Linked DNA regions of Caenorhabditis elegans. The protein of the gene in region 3 binds, or shares a complex with, the protein of the main gene of each other region. Each region holds a gene or a part of one and is shown on either strand. Other genes may lie near its edges. The genes, in order: nud-2, bicd-1 and egal-1.

Region 1 (4,669 bases), on a different chromosome or scaffold from region 3:
CTCGGCCGCGGGAAGTCGTCAAATAATGGATGCAACTCATATCGAAGAAAAAGAAATTGAACTTTTGAATGTAATTGAAGGAAACGGGCTAATATTATCAATTAGTTATCCGCGTATTAATGATGGACAATACACGGCTATTCGATTTGGAATCACAAACAAAACCGATGGAGATTTGTTAGGAGTTGAATTAAAAACTGAAGAAGGTCTCGATGTGAAGGGAAACTCGATTATTGGAGATATTCCGTCTGGAGCACGAGTTTCTGTTGATTTGCTCGTAGATTTTGGAGATAGTGCGACAAGTAGAGAATGGATACTTACAAGAGATGATGGTCATGAGAAGCATTTCAGATTTGAGGTAATCTTTTAAATAGTTTCAGAGGCTTTTAAAATTATTTTTTCCACAAAAAAAATTGAAAAACGTAAATACTCCCTTGATGGTTAATATTTTATATCAAAACTTGTATAATTCCTGACTAGATTCCACAATCCGCATCTTTTAAAGATAAACTAAATTTTTTCCTAAATTCTAGGTCCCATATGGTGAGCAAGTTCAACCAATTCGTCTGTCTCCAGAAGATATTTCAAAAGAAAGAAGTCGTCTTGGAGGTCTCAATCGGCATGTGATACAACTCGAAAATCCCATTAATCCTTCGTCAATTGCTCTATTTGTTAACGCATTTTCTTCGGATTTGACCATTTTCACTTGCCAGACACGTTCACGAAAGGATGTTTGTATTCTGACAGTTTCAGAAAAATCGATTGAGTGCTGTTGTGACAACTCGGTGATAGGACGAATGCTGGCGTTCTCTGTCTCCAAAAATTGCTAGAAAGATTAATTCAAATTGTATTTATTTATTTATTTTGCTCACTTTTTCTTGAAATCATTCCTTTACTAACTATTCATGGTGACGGATATATAAATTTTTAACAGAAAAATTAGAAATATGTAGGCACTTTAGAAATTTGGAAAATAATGTGGGTGAATGGCGAACGTGGAACTTATATTGAGCAACAGTAAGGCGGGGCAAATAAAATCGGGGTCTAATACCAATTGGGTGGGAATAAAACATAAGCATGATACAGGATGTCATGGAAAAGAATAATAACGGAAAGAAACGAAGGAAATGATGAAATGGAGGATCCCTGAGTGAATGAAAAGTCACAGTATGCGAGAAAGGTGAGAAAAACCAAAAAATGAAATGTTAAGCCCGTGTCGTTGTAAGATGACTGGAATTGTTGTTAGACGAGTTGTTGCTCACGCGAATCGTCGATAAAATTGAATCGAGCCGCTCGACTTTTGTCATCAGGTCTTTGACGATTCGATTGATGCAAGCACCGGCGCCCGTACCGGTAGATACTCGTTGGCTCTGAAAGCTATGTAAATGTTGGCTGAGAACTATAAATGGGTTAGCAAATATTGTTTTTTCGGTCTATTCTGCATCTAGAGATGCTATCGTTTATAGTTGTGAGGGAAAAAAGAATTAGAACTCGCTGCAAGAGTTTTTCGACTAAATGTTTTTCATTCCGAAATAAGGTGTGAAGCTATTAATTGATCGAAATTTGCAGGTCTTCTTTGAATTAATATTTGGATATTTACTTTCAAAAATCCACCAAAAAAAGAAAATTTACGTACTTTTTCTTGAATATTTTTATTGTCATCGATGCGCACTTCGTCAATTTTTGCAATAGTTTCCTCCATTCGAACATCTTCGTGGTGCTGCACGTCTTCCATGAAAACATCTTCCGAGCCTTAAATAGTACTAGTTATTTTCATTCTCAAAATGCGACAAATACTTACTCATTTTAAACTCTTCTTTACTTGGACCTGGGGATGGCTCGTCCGGCAGAATTTCTGGATCATTCCTCAATGGTTCTACAATCAAACGTGGCCGTTCTGTTGTTCGAAGTTGTTCTTCTCGTAATCTATGCATTTCTTCAGCAGCAACTTGCCGTTCATAAAGCTCACTTTCCAACATTGCTATCTTTTCAATAGCATGATCCAGTTTCGATCCGAGATCAGATGCTAGATATTCCTTATTTCTTTCTGATGTTTCGAGCACATCGTTTCTCTGTTCCAGTTTTCGAATTCTTTCTCTCTGACTTTCACATTGTTCATGAAGATGTGAGTTTTCTCGTCTTAATTGCTCTTCGACTTGTGCAAATTGTACACGGGAATCGTCCTGTCGATCCTTTAAAATTCACAAAATTCAAATTATAGTTGAAAAATTTTATAAAGTTTTTTTTTTCAATTTTAATGTAAAAAATAGTACCAACCTTGTTCCTAATTTGCTCTGTGGTCATCTGCTGTACTCTGGTTTCTGCTTTTTTCAGTTGTGTTTTCAAATCATCCAATTCTGAATCCATCATTTTCTCAATTTCCGCGGAACTTGTCTGGAACTCGTTAAACTCTTCGCGCATTTGCAAGAAATGACCAAGAAGCTCATGGTGCGGTAGTCCGCGAATTTGATCCTCAGACAAATCCATTGATTTCTGATGATCTGAAAATATTAAAGGTTTAGAAAATTGTTCAGGATATTCAACAAAAATTATGAATCGTAGGAAAAAACGTATAATGCCGCCTGTGAACACACTAAACCCTTACAACGTTCGGCCACGTGTGGACAAAAAGTGAGAGAATAGAATGGACATTTGGGAAAGAGAGAAAAAGAGAACTGGTCGAACGGAGGAAAACAGAAGCAACTACGTATTAGTTGCTACCGCAAATGGATGTTTTTTGAGGTTTAACGATGTTGAAGAAAAGTCTCAGTATTCTTATAAATCGGGATATCTAAGGTCGCCATCATCTGATAGACAGCTAAAGTCATCTCTCTGAGGAAAGATGGAAAATCCTCCAAAGTTTTTGACACAAGGCATTCGAGCAAACAAAAAAGTGGGGGTGCTCCGGCTGCTCCGGCCGCCGTGTGCTCTGTGTTTGTCCTTGCTCCCATAGCTCGTCCGCACTTCCGCTACAAAAAGTCGAACAGCTGTGCGAGTAACACCAATAGGCAATAATTTTAAGATCAGATAACCTTTGAAGATTTCAAAATACTTTGAAGGAAAATTTTACTGTTTTTTGGGTTTAATACACTGATGAAGTTCAAAGAAATCTGCTATAAGAAACTAATTCCGAAAAAATTAACACTTTTTGTAAATAGAATAGAATAGTCATTCAAGAAAATCTGTGTTAAAAGAAAAATTGGTAAATTTCTTCAAAGAGTATTCCAGAAATGGCAATCAATTTTAGTAATCGATAATTAAACTTCGGAAATAGAAATTAAATTCATATAACAGTCCAATTTCCCACACGAAATTCAGGTCAAACTCACGATAGGCAGCAGTCGGAGGAATGGGGAGCGGCAATGGTCGCGTATAATAACTGATAACAAATAGAATAAGGAATGCAGAATATATTGAGCATATTATTTGAAAGATTTTCAAGTTAAGCGGGTCAATTTAGTTGTAACGATTGAGACTAATGATGTAAGTGAGAATTTGGAGAGAATGAAATGTATTAACAAACATTTAAAAAATGAAATTCCAAAACGCCTACGCATGACTCATCGAGTTGTTGAGTTCTAATTGGATTAGGTGTGGTGAACACAGAAAATCGTACGAATTAGTGAACAGAAACACGAAACCGGTTGAGATAATAAATGACCAATTTCAGCGGTTAATATAGGATTCACGAATCACTGGGCCACGTCACGAGGAGAGTTGGGGGTGGTATAATCTGTTTTTCGCGTTTTTTCCCGCGCCGCAGTACCACACCTAAATTTGATATTCGAAAATGTAAATGAACGAGAAAAGTGCTTCACATACACACAAACTATACGATTCATCTATTTCCTATTCAGGTCGACATGACACGATCAAGGTTAACATCACTCTGCTGAAGAATTGAATAGTACGAACAGGTGAACAAAAAAAGAAAGCGATCGTCGCAAAAGATTCCTCCACATTGAGAAGCCTATCAAATCAGTATTTGACTTCACTCGTAAAGTGCCAATCGAAGAGCGAGAGCTCTGTGTTGACATTTTGGTGCTCTGACAAACTGAACTGATCATAAAACTTTTTTGTTCGGGGGCAAGCAAAAGCTGAGTAAATACGTGTTTAGCAATGAAAATGCCGAGTTTAGAAACACTCAAAACTGCCAAGAATAGAAGACAGAAATTTCGTAAAAGAGTAAATGGTGCAAAATTTCAAAGCAATTGTTGAAAATTAAAAGAAGAAAAAACATTTAGTTTAAAAGATGGTTTCAAAAATCTGTTACACAATATGTCGTCAAATATGCTGCATTAAAAAACTTGCGTACTAAGAGAACTACAGTAATACATATATTTTCAATGCTCGCCCGGAAAATTAATTGAAAACGTTCAACGAAGAATTTTGAATTTGGCCTAGTGGAAAATAATAATTTCAAAGCCATCTTTTCATGACGATAAATCTCGAAATCGTCCACCCAACCAGGTTAACAGGGAATTTCAATTTAAAAATTTAAAATTAATAAGCAAACAGGCAAGACTCCTATTTGAAACAGTACAACAATTTTGAATTCAGGCAATGACGCCAAATACCATCAAAAATGAGTCAGTATGGTGTGGGAGAAAGACTAAGACAGTACTGAGGAAGTCAGAGGCGGAGAGTGAAGGAAAATGTTGATGCAGTC
Region 2 (8,386 bases), 740 kb from region 3:
ATCGGGGTGGACCTTTATGTTGGATATATTTTTATAAAGTTTTTGAAGATTTCGAAACCTTTTCCCTTCTTTCTTGATTGTTTTGTAAAGGATTTTTCTATCATAGAGCCGAGAAAATATCACATTAATTTTCTGTATTTTTGAATGAAGTCTATAAGACAAAGTTATAAATTTATAGAGATACTTTATGTATGTTTTTGAGATTTATTTTGTTACTAGATCTCAATTTTTCAATGGCATTTTAGTACTGTAGAGTGCAAGAGAAATCTAGCCTTATTCGAGAAATAAGTTTTTTACTGTTTATATTTTTTGATAAGTTTTTCAAAAATTTTGTTCGTTTAATGTACATCTTTTTTTTTAGTTCCAAGCGAAACACAATATTATTTTTCATACTGTAATACATATATTCGATTATTAATCAAAAATATTTTTTGTGTTGTTTAAAAAATTGTTTTTAAATTACAAGAAAAATTGCATGTCTGCAAAACTTTGATCGACTTCTGCAAATTTTTTAATAAGCTTCTACGAGTTTTACCCAACTGTTCTCTTGCATACGTAATTTAAATTTTTTCTCGTTTGATTTTTTTTTGTTATAATGACTAAAATGTTGTAACAAACCAATAAAAAAGAACACATAATAAAAATACCCAAAACAGAATTGGTTGGAAAAATATGCAATAGTTTGAAACATTACCCGAATTCTGAAAGGTTTTTAAAGTGAAGTAGCAAAATTTTTCAATTGATTGAAACATTAGAAAAGAGCCAAAACTTTCAAAAAATCTATACTTAGCGCTAAGACTGTCATTTTTTGTCGCAGCGTCTGGAAATGAATTGTTATAAAAGCATGATCAGTTATCACACTATTTTGTAGTATATTTTAAATTTATTGGAATACAAATGTTTCAAAATTTGAATGCCAGTAGAGTGCTTTAAACAATTCCGGAATAAAGACTCAAACTAGAAAATTAAGATGATAAATTGAAAAGTTGAAAAAAAGCCCGTTTCTAGATTTAGACTTTAGGAGAATGCGATTTTTAAAAATAATTTTCATCCGGCATAACTAAAAAATTTTCAAAATTTTCAAGAAATCACATTATGAAATTCGGCCATTTATGCTCATTTATAAACAATTGTAGTTAATTTTTGTACAATTTCTGTCGCTGAGTGCAAAAATAAGTAACCAAAGTCTTCAGAGCATTAAGGTAGTTTCGCCCAAAAATTTAAATTCTAGGTTTAAGCTTAAAACGAGAGCTATTCTTTGACAGTTATTACTCGCATGGTTAATATCAGTTCCTTGAAAATCAATCAATAACCCCAAAACCATATCATTTTATGTGACTAAACTTTCCTTCCAAAAAAAAAAGAAAAAAATGATCTGACTCATCAATTTCCGGTGATTTCCCCCGTCTTCCGTGCTCCACCCAGAACGGTTTGCGGAGGCATTAGAACAGTAGTCTCGCCCCGCATTTGTGTCGATTTTGGCTGCCGAGTGAACAAAAAAAACGAAACAGCACTCAATATTTGTGTCAGGTCAGCCACTCTTTCTTCCATTCTCTTCTATTTGTTTTTTGTTCATTTCTATTCCCTATTTCTCTCTATTCTCTTTAGTCCATTCTTCATTTCATAATTCTACTGAAACTAGTGTTACCTCTATCTCTAAACTCTCCTCTCAACCTGTACTATTTCTCTCGCGGGAGCCGAAAACGAAAACCTTATGAATATACAATTAGTTTTTCGACACCCTCTCCTAGTCGACAAAACGCAAATTTCCAAAATTGAACCTGTCGCACTAATATCTTGGAAATTTTGAAATTTACTTATTCCTGGTTTTGTTTAATTTTTGTTTTTAAAAGAAAATGTGGTCATTTGAGAACATTTTATTTAAATTTAAATTTTTAAATTTTTTCCTGTTTCAAATTGTAATTATTTCAACAATTTTTTAAAGGAATACTCAGTGAAGTATTTTTCCCCCTTTTTAAGTTATTTTCATGTTTGATATTTCCAACTCTCTAACATTTAAATTTCAGCAGCCACAATGGCTGAATCAGAATTGGAGAAGCTTCGTCAGGATATTGCAATCCTTACAGAAAAATATGAACAAGCCAAAGAAGATATTCATAAGGCAGCAAATGCGGGTTTAGAATTGCTCCGTCAAAAGGAAGATCTAGAGAAACGATTAGCAGAGATGCAGGCAGAATTGGATTTGGCAAGAACTGAAATTGATAAAACTAATCAGGTAAGTATTCGATTTCGAAAATAAAAATCGGAAAAAATATTGAAAAAAAATTAATGTTTCAAGTAAATGGTAAATATTCGAAATTTTTCGTACTATTTCATTTATTTTTAAAATATAAGCATGCAACTATCAAAAAAATTTTATTCAGACTTACGCAGGTAGGTAACAAAAATATAGGAAAATTTTTCACTTTTTTCGTTTTGTTGCAGTCATTCTTACCATTTTTTTTAAATATTTCATAAAATTTTGAACTGTAAAAATATAGAAAAATGAACAATCAACATTTTTGTCAGCTTACAATTTTTGATGAAGATGTATGAGCTGCCAAAATTGAGCTTAACAAAAGACTAGTAAAGTGTTAACAAAATTATTATTGAAGCTCAAGTTGTTCAAGTTGCTCTTATTTTCAGACTCTTGCTGAATACCGTTCCCAACATCAACGGTCCACTCGAAGTGAACTCGAAAATGAAGAATCTCTACTCGAGGAAAGTTCAGCAAAAGAAGAGGAATATCTACAGAGAATTGCAAAATTAGAAGCAGATCTTAAGAAAAAAGAACAAGAATTGGCAGAAAAGAAAGAAGAATTGGAAAGTATTGAAAAGAAACATTCGAAAGAAATCGATTCTGGAGCTGCATTAGAAGATGAAAGAAGAAAACTTAGAGCTGAATTAAAAGAAACAAAAGAAAGAGAACAAAGATTAATTTCTGAATATTCAGAGTTAGAAGAAGAAAATATTGGATTACAGAAGACTGTTGCAAATTTAAGAGGAAGTCAAGTGGAATATGAATCATTAAGAATTGATAATAATCGATTGGAAGAGACTATTGAAATTATGAAAATGGCTGCAGAGGAAGATGAAATATTAAGAGTTATTGCTGACAAACAGGTGAGACACTTTGAAAAATTACAACTCTCTCAGAAACTTTAACAAGTTTTCCTAAAAATATGTGAATAATTTCAAACATTTCCCTATTTGTTTGGAATTGCAACTGCAAAAACATTATGAAATTTTCATGTCTATTCACTATTTATTTTTGATCACGATTTGAATCGTAATAAATACAATACAATACAATACAAAATTTATTAGGTGATTGAAACAGTAAAAAAAACGAAAACTAGACAACTTTTATTTTAATTTTATAACCTGTTATTATTATTTTATAGCTCCCGTTTTTCATTGAAATTTTTGAACGGGTCGCCTCAATGTATATTTTCAAAACCTCAATTTTTGTATGAAAAACTTTCCAACTTATCATAAATATTTCAGCTCGAAGAAGCTCTGCTCACAGCTCAACAAGAACGGGATCAGCGATTGGCAATGAAAAGAGAATTAGAACAGACAAGAAATGCAGAGCATATCAGTAGTTTAAATGATATGCTTTTTGGATTGGAAAGGCTTGGGGAGGTTTGTTTTTTTTGTTAAAAAATTAAAACAATTAACTTTTAATAAAAGTTTGTTTTCCTATTTTAAAAGTTCCTGTGAAATTTTGTTAAAACACTTATATACAAAATGTCTTTTGTATACGTGAATTTTAAAAATACATTTGATAACTGATAATTTGAAACTAAACTTAACAAGTTGGGAAGAAAAAATTGCTCTTAAAGAAAAATGAGCTTCACATGTTTCGTATTCAATTTATATTGGCCAAGAGGAGTGTTGTAGGCTTGTTCTTTCGGTATCGATTTTTCTATTATTTAGTCAAATGTTATTTTAATATTTCTGTGTTCAAAAGGCGCATGAAATGGCAGAAACACTTGAATTAATTGTTGAATGAAAGTGTGGCACATGCTTTTAACGGACCACACGCTCAACACCAAACATTTTTGTATAAATCTTATGAAACAGTAATTTTTTAGGACGGCGAACTGCCACCTCCACAACCTGGAGCAAGTGACCTCTTCAGTGAATTACAAGGATCAAGTGATGTAAAAGTTCGTGAACTGGAAGCTGCAAAGGAAGGACTTCAAGAAGAATTAAAGAGCAGAGAGAAGATTTTCATCGAATTTGTAACCGGATTAGCAGACACCCTCAATATTCATAGACCAACAAGTGAGTTTAAATAGAACATTTCAGTTTGATTTGGAGTGTGATAAACCATTGAAGACATGGTGAAAAGTTATAACATTCAATTTTCACCAAATTTTTCAATGTTTCACATTCATTTCATATTGGTCAACGGTAGTATTGGAGTCTAGCGTAGATGTATGTAGTTTTTCAGAGTTTTCAGGGTTTTGGGTGAATAAAAGCTTCGCAAATTTCCTTTAAAATGAATATTTTATCATATTTACAATTAGTTATATTCAAAATTATTCAATTTTTAAAAAATTAGTTCCCCCGTGCATTCCCTAACAAAGTTTTCTTTACAGATGAGCTCGACTACATGCATGCTCGTCAACAAAAAGACGTTGTACTAGAGAAAATCCAGAACATTGCTCGTGACACTGACCGTCATGATAAAGAAGGAGAAGAAAAACGATCGGGAATTTTGAAGGCTGATTTGAGGACACTTGTATTGGTTGCTGGAGAGAAAAGTGCTCAGTTGGCAGCTGCTCAAGTTAGTTTTTGAATTAAATCATAAAAGTTTCATATTGCGAACCAAATTAAGAACATTATGAAAATGTAAATGTTGAAAATTCAGGACGCAATGATTCAAGTCTCCGATCAACTTTATCAATTCTACCATCAAATGACACAGAACCAAGGAGTTCAAACAGAAAAGAGTGTACAAGAGGTAAATTTTATTTTAATATTTATAGAAAATGAACAGAACTTTGTATATTTCAGATTGTGAAAAAGTTGCGTCTATTGGCTCGTGCCAATGCAGAAGACGTTCCACGTGTCTCGTTGGCAGATGAAGGAGTTGAAAGTGGAACAGAGACAGATGTTAATGCATCAAGATCAATTCCATTGAATTCCGATCGTCTTGTTATTGCGCCAAGTTTTGCGAAGGAAATTGAGAAAAAGTTGGCAAGTGTCAAGATTGGCGATGTGTTGTCAGAGACTGATTTGAGGCAAAGAATACTTACTGGTTTGTTTAGTTTTTGAATCGCAAAAAAGAGCTGGATACAAAACTTTTCCAAAAATGTACAAGTTTTAGAGAAGATGCTACAATTAAAAAAAACAACGAGATTTTACGAAAGACAAATAAAATTACTGTTTCAACCAACTTTTATCATAAATTGGGTTTATATTAGCTATTTGAGTCGAGGTTTCAACACTACATTGAATTTACTGTACTTACTGTATACTTAGTATACTTAGAATACTTACTGGTTTGTTTTTGAATCGAAAAATTCAAAAAAAGAGCTTTGCCAAAAGACAATTCTTCTTCAAATACTTCATTTGGTTGAAAATATTTGGAATGTCTAGCAATATTTAAATCGATTAATAGAAGCAGGAAAAATTTATTTTTTATTCGAATTAAATTTTTCAAGAATAATTATTAGTTTTAGAGAAGTTGCTGAAATAAAAAAAATTTTGGAAGATAAATAAAATTACTGTTTCAACCAACTTTTTTTTTCCATAAATTGGAATTCTATGAGCAGTATGTTTTTCAATATTGCATTGAATTTACTACTTTGTATCAAACATTCATTTAAGGTTTGATGGCGTTAAATTTAAAGAGTGATTAAGACTCTTGATATTAAACGTTACAACTTTCAATTTGCCAATATACATCTCATTCTCACATTCGAATATATTAAATACATTATTTTCAGAAGGAAATGCCATTTCCGAAACCACAGAATCGTTGAAAAAGATGATTCAAGTGGTGAAAAGAACCTCTGAACAAGCATTCAATCAAGCAGTTATGGCAAGTGGAGCTGAAAATGAAATTGAAATGCAGAATATGAAATTGCGAAGTCTTTTATCAACAAAACGAGATCAGATTTCAACGCTTCGAACTGTTTTGAAATCGAATAAGCTGACTGCTGAAAGTGCATTGACTTCAATGAGAGAAAAATATGAATCAGAAAAGAAAATGATGATGGAAATTAATGATAAAATGAGAAGAGAATTGAAACAATTGAAGGAAGATGCTGCCACGTTTGCATCTCATAGGGCAATGTTCACTGCAAGAGGAGAGGAACTCAAGTCAAAGGTATTTAGTTTTGTTTTGAAACAGTTAGGAATTTCTAATTTCGGGAAAAGTATAGCTTTTATAATATGACATACGGTAGCTCTGTTTAATTACTAATTCAAACATTTCCATTCCAGATTCCCTATTACAAAATAGATATACTTAAATTGTATCTGTAGTAGTTGAAACAGAAACTATTTTTAATATTTAAACTTTTTAGGGTTATTAACTTTTACTTTGAATTATTTTTCTCGTTGGAAAAAAAATCGTTTTCTCAAAATTTACAAATTTTTATTTGGAGTCAAGTTTCTGACCTGGCAGCTTAATGAAAATTTCTCAAGTTAGTTGCTTTCTCAACAGCTAAACGTTAACAGATATTGACTATAGTTTGACAGAAGTTGTCAAGTTTTTAAAGAAAGTTTCCCCCAAATGCCGAGTTGATAGATGCGATCATCTTCTAATTAAAACTTTCCGTAAATGAAATTACTGTTTCACAAAGGATTTATTTTGAATTGAACTTCATTTTAAGTTGATAGTCATAGGGGTATATCTAACCATTTTCTCACTTCTATTGTATCTGTAGCAGTTGAAACATACTTTTTTTTTAATTTTCATCTTCGTACAGTTTGTTTACTTTGAATTATTTTTAACATTTAAAACTCGATTTGTTTTTTACTTGAATTTAGTGTCTGAACTCTGAATTTGAAAAAAACATATGGTCAAAACGCAATATTTTATCACTTTAATCGTATCTGGAGTAGTATCTTCTGTAAATTTTAAAATCAAATTTAACAATTTTCCAGGTGGAAGAACTATCAAACGAGTTGCGTGCAAATGAAGAGGAAAAGAAGACATTAAATCAACTTCTTCGTTTAGCAATTCAACAGAAGCTCACATTGACTCAACGTTTAGAAGAGGTTGAAGTTGATCGGGATAGGCAGGTATTTAAGAGGAGTAGTACAAGAGCTCCAACTAGAGAGGTGAGATATTAAAGGTGTAGTATCGTCCAATGTGACGTCTTTAATGGAATCACTGATTAAAAACCATAAAAATTAAAACAGTCTTTTTTTTAAAAATTTTTTTAAAAATAACTTTTTTAAAGTTCTTTATGACCCATTTTCTCTAATTTGAAGAAAAATCTCAACAGACGATACTCCGCCTTTAATTATGTTCACTGTTTCAAAACATTCACAAAAAAATGTTGAAATTTCAAAAAGCAATGATTTTTTGATATACAGAACACATTGGAAGGCGGATTGTTTCTTTTGGGGAATTTTTTCGAAATTTATTTGATATGCCAAGAATAACAAAGAAAAAACGAAAAAAATTGGAAAATTTAGTTTAAAACGATAAAAAAAACCTTTTAACAAAGACACAAATCTTTCGCCAAACGTACAAAACTGCCTTTTTAATATGACAATCCAATCTTTTTAAATCTTCAATTGATTGGTATGGAAATGCAGAAAAAACTTTAATTTTGGTGAAAAGCTTGAAAAAATCTTGAAATAGTGCTCGAAAGTTGAAGTTTTGCCAAAAAACTTTACGCACTTTTAGCTACAAACGGCAATTTTCAAGCACTATGTTATGATTTTCTGGAAAAGTTTTCGACAAAATTAAACTTTTTCTTACTTTGAAAAATCCAAAAAAATTGTTTTTTTCTTCTAGAAGTTAATTTAATCTTCTCCGTTTTCAGACCTACCAGCCACCGAGAGCAGTTCGTTATCCGGGTTCAACAACAACAGCTCAACAGCCAGCACCTTCATCTTCGGGGGGCTCGAGGGGAGGGCCACGCAGGGGAGACAATCAGCAATAAGCTGGTGGTCAGGTGATGACGTGACAACGATGAGAAGACGACGAACACCTACACCAGAGGATCCAAATGATCAAGAATCAATTAATACACAAAACCACGTCATCACCACGTGGCCCTACGACCTGAAAAATGAAGAAGATCCCCAATTATTGATTGATTTAATGATGGAAGAGATGAGAGTTGAATCTGAAATTGAAAGAATGCGATTAGCACTTAAAGAACAAGAATCGATATTCGCTGATTGTCAATTT
Region 3 (8,250 bases):
AGTACAGAGCAGAATAGTTGTAATATATTTAAAATTTTATAAAAGAGCACTGAAACAGTAAACTTTTAAACCAAAAGTAAGTGGTTCCCATAACTTGTCAATTGCAGAATTATTTTTGGATTGTAAAATCTCAAAAGTCAAATAGTCATTATCATTTTTTTTCTTTTGAAGATTGAAGATTCATCATAACTGTAATATTAACACTTTGATATAAACATACTGAAACAGTGATTCTTTCTATAATTTTAACTGACCACTATTTATGAATGACCCTACTAATCATATCATATTATCTTCAAATACCAAAACATTCATAATTTCACATTTGCATTTTTGTATTTGCATACTGAAACAGTGAATTGTTTTACTTAAAAAAAGCCAATTGGCAAATTATTATTGAAATGCAGAAATTCAATAGAAACGTTCAAGTTTTATGTATACTGTATTCTTTATGAAATCTGTATACTGTACTACCAATAATGCTGTCATTTTTTTTTTCTATTTTTAATACATAGAAAACAGAATTTCAATCAACTTATTGAAAGTTCAATGGAAAAAATAAAGACATATTGGGACCATAGCCAGCTTTTCATTTAATATAGCTGTAATTCTCACATTTTTATATCAGCACAATGAAACGGTGCATTTTTTCTGCTAAACAATTTATGTTTTCCATAACTTGGCAATTGACAAATTATTATTGAAATTTTTTCAATTTTTAAAAAGAAAAGTTCATGTTTTAACATTCTTATACATTCTTACCAATACTGCTTTCATTTTTTTCAATTTTTATAAAAACAAGCTGAAACAGTGTTTTACTGTAGTCCTTGGGTAGATACGATGCAGTCATTTCCGTGCTCACTTGGAATGATTAGAGCTATTTAGTCTACATAAAACTGTTTAATATTTTACTGTAATGATGTGATCTTTCAATTTCATTATTTCAGTTGCCTTGTAAAATAAAAAAAATCTCGAAACAATTTTTTCATTCTTTTAATTTTCCTGGTATTTGTAGTTTTGAAGCTTATCAGTTTTAAAATTGTTATAACAACCCATTATTGTTGTTAAATTTAAATTTTTGTATCAGCATACCGAAACAGTGACACTTATATTTTGGCACTTATAATTTGAGTTCTTCATTATTTGTAAAACAGACTAATTATTAATGTGTTCTAGAAATGAACAATTAAAACAGTCATTTTTATTCACAATTTCTTTGGAAATTGGAGATTAGAACTTTTTATGAAAACTTCTTTTTTTTTGGTGGAAACTTGTGTTTGCCGCTAGTTGGTAATTGTGCAATTTTTGTTTAATTTAGAAATACGAAAACTCCTTGGAATGTTTCCTAAATTTTGATAAAATTTACATGGAAGAGCTGAAACAGTAGTTCTTTCCTATAGGGCAAATTTCCAAAAGTTCCTACATTGGGCTTTCTTTTTTAGAACAAATATTTAGAACAGTTAAAATACATAATTCAAGTTATGAAAGTGGGGCAATAAATACGTTGTTGTTTTCTTGTGATTTTACGAACTGTTTGACAGAATCCTTAATTTCAGAATTTGAAACAAAACATTTTTCACATTTCTTTACGTGCCTTAAAATATTCCTTGCATTTTTTTAAACTTTCATGAAACCAATCTGAAACAGTAAAATTTTTCAAATATTTTTATGAGCCAAATTTCAATTTTCGTCACATTTTTTAAACAGTTTTAAAACATTTTTAAAACAGCTAAATTGTCCAAGCAACACAAATATATTTTTTAGATCATCAAAACACTTTATTGAAACATGAAATATTTTTATGGAAGCAACGAGAATTTTTCTATAGGATGAATAATTCTCAAAATAATATTTTTTGTGAATTGCTGATGAGTCAGAAGTGTTAAATAGATAAGCTTTTGTCTCTGACCGGAAAAAACAGTACAATTTTACGATTTGAAAAAAGAACCGTTTTTTGTATATAAAAATGATATAAAATTCAAATGTCTTTACTTTGTATTATCCGGTTTTTAAAAATAAATTGTTTCCTTTAATTTTTTCAATGTTTCAATACATTTTCAAGTGTTCATTTCCAAACTCTTAGTTAATTTTCTTTCCCTACGCACTTAAAATTAATTTAATTTTTTGCAGGTAAGCCAAAAAAGCGTTCGCAGCCAATCTTGCGTTCATCTTTCATTTCACGGAAACACTTATCATTACACGTATCAATTAAAACCAAAAAAAGAAAATGGAGGAGGCAAAGAATATGGCTTTGCTCTTTTTTATGGACCATCTGATGCAGAAAAATGGGAGAAGAACAATTCATGATTTGAGTTGTCAATTTGGAGCACGCGGGTTTAGTGAAGAAATGAGAAATGCTGTTGGAACAACTCAAGAGGGATTAACCGAGTTTTTGCAGGTGAGGAGTGAACAAAATATTTTTTTACTGTTTCGACAAATTTTCAAGAATTTGTAATTTTGAAAAAATTTATTAATCGCGTTCTAGAATTTCTAAATTTTGTAAAGTTATACAAAAGTAAAAATCAAATTCCCATGCAATATCGTATTCATTCTTACAAAGTTTGTGAAAAATTAATTTAAAATTCACCGTAACATCCAGAACCTAGAACATTTAGATTTCCAGCTCCAATTTATTCAGAAAATTTTAATTTTTTTCATTGAGTTTTCAATTAAAATATTTCCACAAAAATTTAATATCCTGGCTTTTCAAAGAGGAATTAAATTTGATAAATTTTCTGAAAAAGTTTTTATTGTGTTTTTACTGTTTCAAATAACTCATATCTATGAGTAGCTGTGATTCGCAGGAATACCACGAATTCCTAGAGAACGGATCGCCTAAGTAAGTAAGTAAGTATATTCTATAGAAAATTTCAAAACCTTGAAAAATCTATAATTTTGAAATATTTATAGTCAATTTCACAAAAATTTAAAAAAAAACCTCCAGAAGAAACGAGTTTCTAAAAAAATCTTATTGTTTTCACATTTTTTACACATTTTTTTTGACATTTTACACATTGACATTGACATTTTTGACATTTTGACATTTTTCACTTTTTTTACGCCATTTTTCATTTTTACCATTTTTCACATTTTTTGAGAAACTGTTTTTGTCCGGAGAAAAAATGGAAAAATATCAAAAAAATAGTTCCTCCCAAAGAAAAAAACTAACAAAACTCAAAAGGCTACTATTTTCTACAAATTCTTACACAGTATCCTTTGAAAAAAAAAATTGAAAAATTATACGAAATGTCATATCTAGAAAATTTAGATTTTTTTAATTTTCAATTAAAATATTTCCACAAAAATTTAATATTGTTAATAAAATATCGATAATTTAATTCATTTCCAGGGTCATCCATCTCTGTTCACTGTCGAAGGAGATCAAGTAATTCTAAATGGGCATAATGATCTAAATGCAAAAAATAATCCACTTCTCCAATCGGGTATTCGTAGTCGAAATTACGAAAAAGAAGCCGTCGACTTTTTCGTCACAAAACTTACGAAATTCGGTCCAGAATTGCAAATAAAATCTCTATTGGGACATCGTTCTCAAGCTGCTCCAGAAGTTCGTCTTGTATCAGGACGTCATTTAAAGGAGTTTTGCGAGTTTTTGCAATCTCAAGTTGACTATTTTGTTGTTGAAGGTGATAGAGTTCGATTGAAGAATATGCCTGAACCAGATGAAAATGCAATTGAAATGGATGATGAAGGAAGACCTTTGGCTGGAGTTAAAGCTAAACAAGCAGCTGTAGAATATTTGAAATCAGTTTTGGAACAAAATGAAGATCAACCTATTCCATTGGATCAATTCTATCAAAACTTTTGTCAACGATTCTCTCACACTATTCGCCAGGATGTTGCTACAAATCCAAAAGAACTTCTTCAGTTTTTAAAATTGAATCGAGGACTTTTCTTCATTAGATCCAATAAAGTATCTCTCGTGAAGAATCGTCTAAATGAAGATGGATCTGAAAATGGATCAGATGAAGGTGAAGAGACAAATAATAATGGAATGTTTCCACTTGATCAAAGTGCATTGACAAGAATTCATTTTGTGAAAGCACTTAAACCGGCACAAGATTTAATTTCAAGACTGTGGCAGGATATTAATAACATGGAAAAGAAGGTTGTTGGATTGGATTTGAAAACTGTTACGGTCGGAGTTGATGGAGAAATCTTTTTGTCTTTGGGTGAGTTATTTTTCAAACAAAGTTGTTCGAAAAATTCTAATAATACTCTGAAATGTTATGATGCTCTATGACCAAGGAATGAAACAGTATTTAACAGTGGGGCTGCGTTAATGGAGATTGTGTTCTAAAACACCCAAAATAATCCTAAATTCAAAAATTCACGAAAAACAAAGGAAAACACTAAGAAAAAATAAAACATTCAGCATTAAAAATCAGGATTTTTAAATTTTTGCTACAGTCCCTGTTTGAATTTACTCGATTTTGTTCCTTTTTCTGTTGATTTTCTGAGACTATTTTGAGAATTTGAAAGCGAAAAACAAAATAATTACGACGAAAAGTTACAAAAATGACCAGAAACGTAAATCTCACGAAACAAGAAAACAGATTCAGGTCAACGTTTTACGGTTTTTTGCGGAAAAATTTCAGTTCATGAACTTTTTTTGGTTTTCTTTTTGTTTTCAAAAAAGAAAGAAAAACTGTTAAATCTTAAAATGAAGCTTTGATTGATACCTTTCTATGGCATAAATTTCAGCCAAAGACTTTGAAACCCTGGCAAAAAATATTATTTTGTCTCAATAAAGTCTGATTACTACTCTGAATTGTTTTGAGACACCTAAACCGACGATTTGTAACAGTAAAAATTGTTGAAATTTTCCAAACGGAACAAGTATCCATTGTGATCCTTGTGAAAGGGGGACTCTTTTTTGACTGATTTTAGCTGCCGGGGGTAGGAAACTTCTCAATTAGCTTTACATGGAACATGTATTAGAACGGTCACATGAAATTTTTAAAAATTAGTTTTTTTTTAGAAATTTCGAAAGTATGTTGCCCCAAGCCTTTGCCTCTTTTTAGGGTAATATCTTCCAAATTTTATTACTTTTTTTTTGAATTCCTGTTCAGTTCTGTTATTTTCAAAAAAACTACTCGCCATATATCATGCAAAAACAATCCGCGAAATGATGAGTTACCTTCAAGTTTTCTTAATTTCAAATATTTTTCATTAACGATATTTCGAGGTATTCTGTACCCAATATCTCAAAAAAATCCTGTTTCTTCATTATTGTAAAAAAATTTCAAAACCGTTAGAAACATTGAGACATTACAATGAATAATTCCAGGAGTGATCGCCACAACATCTCAAATCGGAATTTTCGATCTCGCCTCCAGTGACGTCATCATTTTGGAATCTGGATTCAAAGGGATTTTGGAGAGTGAGAAAGTGGTGAAAGTTATTCACGACGCAAGAAGAGTTGCATCTCTATTGGCTCATAAGTATGCAGTTCACATGAGAAATGTTTTCGATACTCAGGTAAGAAAATCGATTTTAATATTAATTTTGCAAAATTTCGCTAGGGAAATCTCAAATTTGTATTTCTAAAAATGGCCGAGAGCTCGGTATTCAAATTTTGAATTTTGAAACTTTTTCAAACTATCTTTTATATTTTATATAAGTTCACTAATATTCAGTTCAAATATCCCTCTAAAATGTACACCTAGAAAATGTATGAATTTTCAACGTTTTCATTCTAACAACTATATTTCAGGTTGCTCACTCACTTCTTCAACACGAGAAATTCAACAAATCTCTGAATGAAATGCGTCCAATATCATTCATCAACCTTCAACGTGTCTATTATCCACAGTCAATTATGCTCAGCGACGTGACTCCACGGAAAATGAGCATGTGCCCGAAGTGAGTCTCATCTTCTTTGTTAAAAAAATAAAATTTAAAAAAAAACAATAGGAAAAACACTGTCAGTAACTCCATAAAATCTTAAATTTACTTGTAAACTTTTTGAAACCGTAATTTTTTTTCATTCAACATTAACACATTCTGCTATAAACCTTCTATATTTTCAGCTGGGGTGTCCGACCAATCACAGAAGAATTCCAGTTGACAATTGTGGAAGAAGCTCATTGCCTTCTTTCAGCTCTCTATCAATCTCTCTCAAATCTGATTCCGGTGCATTTACGTGGTGTATTTGAAGATAAATGCATCGAGGTAAACCATCCAGAGGTTCGGTTTTGTTGATTTTTTGTTCAAAAATGCACCATTTAGTTTTGCATCATGCATATTATTCAGTTTTGTTTAGTTTTGGTTTAGTTTAGTTTAAGCTTTGAAAAACCTCATGAGCCTTATCAGTATCACCATTATCACTTTAGAATTGTTACCCATTATCACGATTATTTGATCCCCTTTCTTGAAAACATCTTGAAATTGTATACATTTTTTTACCACAAAATTGCAATGTTTAACCCAAAACTTTAATTTAATTTAAATTTAAATTAGAAAATTTTCTGAAAAAGACTCCAATTACAATTTTTTTTGTTTTTCCCGAAACCGAAACAGCGCCCAAAATGTAACTAAAAATTTAAAATTTTTCATCAAATACTTTTTAACGTTAATGTCTACTTGTACTTTCTACTTTCAAAATTAACTTTCCATATTATTCCAAATGATAAAGTTCTGGCACCGATTTTGCTAAGAAATTGACGAAGAATTATTTTTTTTTTCAATTTTTAAATCAAATTTTGAAATTTTTTTCGGGCAACAATTAGGCAATTCGACGCTGGTAAAGTTCCATTCTATCTATCATAATTTTCATTCGGACTTTAATTAAATACCTTATTTAAAACAGTGGGAAAAATAATTTAGATTTGAAATAGAAGTTTTGTAAACGATTGAACTGTTGAACTAAACAGTATTATTATATTTTGAGCAAGTTAAACTCCCCATCTGAAACGGTGGAAAATTTCAGCACTTCTTAAAAATATCTCGAATTTCAATTGAATTTTTTGTTCTTAAGTTAATTTATACAATTTTCCTACTTTTTCCCATCGAAAAATTCCAAAATTCCAGGTTCTCCTAGCATCACCCAATCGTCCACCACCTCAACCATTCATTTCTTCCCCATATCGTGCTTCAACTCGTCGTGATGTTCGAAATGGTGGATCAATAATGCAATCATTCTCACCAGCTCCATATGCAGCTGCTCCGCGTCCACAAATGTCGGATGCATGCACCCAAACGTTCTCAACGGGCGATATCGAAGTGCTCAACGTATTCTACGAGTAGTTAATTCTCATTTGATAATCATTCATTATTTTCTCTCTTTTCACCAAGAAATGCCTTCTCTGACAATACATCATCATCACTTTTTCCTCGTTTTCATTTGTTAAAAATTATTTAATGTGCAATAGAAACACTTTGCACGCTCTTCTTTTTGAAATTCAAAAAAAAAAACTTCTTTTCTCCAAAATTCACAGCTTTCAGTTTTCATCGGTGTATACAGTTAAATTTTATTTGGATTTTTTTTATTGTTTTTAATGAAAATTTATTACATTTTATATGCAGTTTCAAAAAAATTACAAAATGTTAAGCAACTCTCTTAGGTTTTATGTGGAAATCAACACTACACAAATTACTGTTTCACAATCAGAATCAATTTTCAATTTTTTAAATTTCCAAAAAATTTACCGTTTCTAGTCTTTTGTAAAATTTGTGTGAAATTTATAGTTTGAACCGATTCAAAGCATTTTCACCAATTGGATCATTCATCACCACACGTAGCACTTCTCTGAATACCTTGACAAACGTATTTATCTACGCGGGGCACTCAACAAGATCCTTTTGACGATTTCTGGCCATTTGTTTAGCTTGTGAATGCACAGTTATACTTTTATTTGGTTTTTTATGTTTCAAATGAAAGTCTTATAAAATATTGAATACAGTTTCAATACACTTGCAAAATTTCAATCACTGCGCCCATTTTCGATTCGTGTATGCATATTCCGACAATCTTCTAATAATTATTCACTCATCAAGATTTGCAATCAAAACTATTAATTTCACCCAAATTTTACAAAAGTCTAGAAACGGTAAATTTTTTGAAAATTTAAAAAATTTAAAATTAATTTCAATTTGTCGCCTTGAACAACATTGTTTTTTTGTTACCTACTGCTTTTATTTGAATTTGTACTAAAATTATATCTTACAACAAGAAAAGAACTAGAAATAGTTGTTACCAAAAAAATAAGCAATTATCAGTCAGTCACTCAA

The links.
Region 1: egal-1 (region 3) and nud-2 share a complex: the UniProt entries of both Caenorhabditis elegans proteins name them as parts of the dynein-regulating complex.
Region 2: egal-1 (region 3) and bicd-1 share a complex: the UniProt entries of both Caenorhabditis elegans proteins name them as parts of the dynein-regulating complex.

What each region holds. Positions count from the first base shown.
Region 1 is NC_003279.8:7,856,917-7,861,585, forward strand, and holds nud-2 (Protein nud-2), read right to left. Parts: upstream 2,502-4,669; 5' UTR 2,488-2,501; coding exon 2,278-2,487; intron 2,193-2,277; coding exon 1,802-2,192; intron 1,753-1,801; coding exon 1,637-1,752; intron 1,371-1,636; coding exon 1,206-1,370; 3' UTR 840-1,205; downstream 1-839. Other genes in the region: apb-3 (AP-3 complex subunit beta), read left to right, coding at 1-358, 534-830. UniProt on the Caenorhabditis elegans protein: Part of a complex with lis-1, which is recruited to the nuclear envelope by unc-83, where, in turn, it recruits dynein to the nuclear surface and regulates nuclear migration in hypodermal precursor cells.
Region 2 is NC_003282.8:6,565,978-6,574,363, reverse strand, and holds the start of bicd-1 (Protein bicaudal D homolog), read left to right. Parts: upstream 1-2,027; 5' UTR 2,028-2,035; coding exon 2,036-2,236; intron 2,237-2,646; coding exon 2,647-3,123; intron 3,124-3,507; coding exon 3,508-3,645; intron 3,646-3,905; exon of another isoform or gene 3,906-3,926; intron 3,927-4,019; exon of another isoform or gene 4,020-4,040; intron 4,041-4,097; coding exon 4,098-4,290; intron 4,291-4,607; coding exon 4,608-4,795; exon of another isoform or gene 4,796-4,813; intron 4,814-4,879; coding exon 4,880-4,972; intron 4,973-5,025; coding exon 5,026-5,269; intron 5,270-5,438; exon of another isoform or gene 5,439-5,460; intron 5,461-5,960; coding exon 5,961-6,343; intron 6,344-6,446; exon of another isoform or gene 6,447-6,467; intron 6,468-6,850; exon of another isoform or gene 6,851-6,876; intron 6,877-7,125; coding exon 7,126-7,302; intron 7,303-7,542; exon of another isoform or gene 7,543-7,563; intron 7,564-8,015; coding exon 8,016-8,135; 3' UTR 8,136-8,386. UniProt on the Caenorhabditis elegans protein: Part of a complex with dlc-1 and egal-1, which is recruited to the nuclear envelope by unc-83, where in turn, it recruits dynein to the nuclear surface and regulates nuclear migration in hypodermal precursor cells.
Region 3 is NC_003282.8:5,822,663-5,830,912, forward strand, and holds egal-1 (Egalitarian protein homolog), read left to right. Parts: upstream 1-2,130; 5' UTR 2,131-2,227; coding exon 2,228-2,398; intron 2,399-2,470; exon of another isoform or gene 2,471-2,495; intron 2,496-2,807; exon of another isoform or gene 2,808-2,828; intron 2,829-3,349; coding exon 3,350-4,190; intron 4,191-4,211; exon of another isoform or gene 4,212-4,232; intron 4,233-4,758; exon of another isoform or gene 4,759-4,779; intron 4,780-5,282; exon of another isoform or gene 5,283-5,303; intron 5,304-5,308; coding exon 5,309-5,499; intron 5,500-5,625; exon of another isoform or gene 5,626-5,646; intron 5,647-5,734; coding exon 5,735-5,883; intron 5,884-5,927; exon of another isoform or gene 5,928-5,948; intron 5,949-6,050; coding exon 6,051-6,207; intron 6,208-6,344; exon of another isoform or gene 6,345-6,368; intron 6,369-6,431; exon of another isoform or gene 6,432-6,452; intron 6,453-6,762; exon of another isoform or gene 6,763-6,783; intron 6,784-6,868; exon of another isoform or gene 6,869-6,889; intron 6,890-7,050; coding exon 7,051-7,266; 3' UTR 7,267-7,537; downstream 7,538-8,250. UniProt on the Caenorhabditis elegans protein: Part of a complex with bicd-1 and dlc-1, which is recruited to the nuclear envelope by unc-83, where in turn, it recruits dynein to the nuclear surface and regulates nuclear migration in hypodermal precursor cells.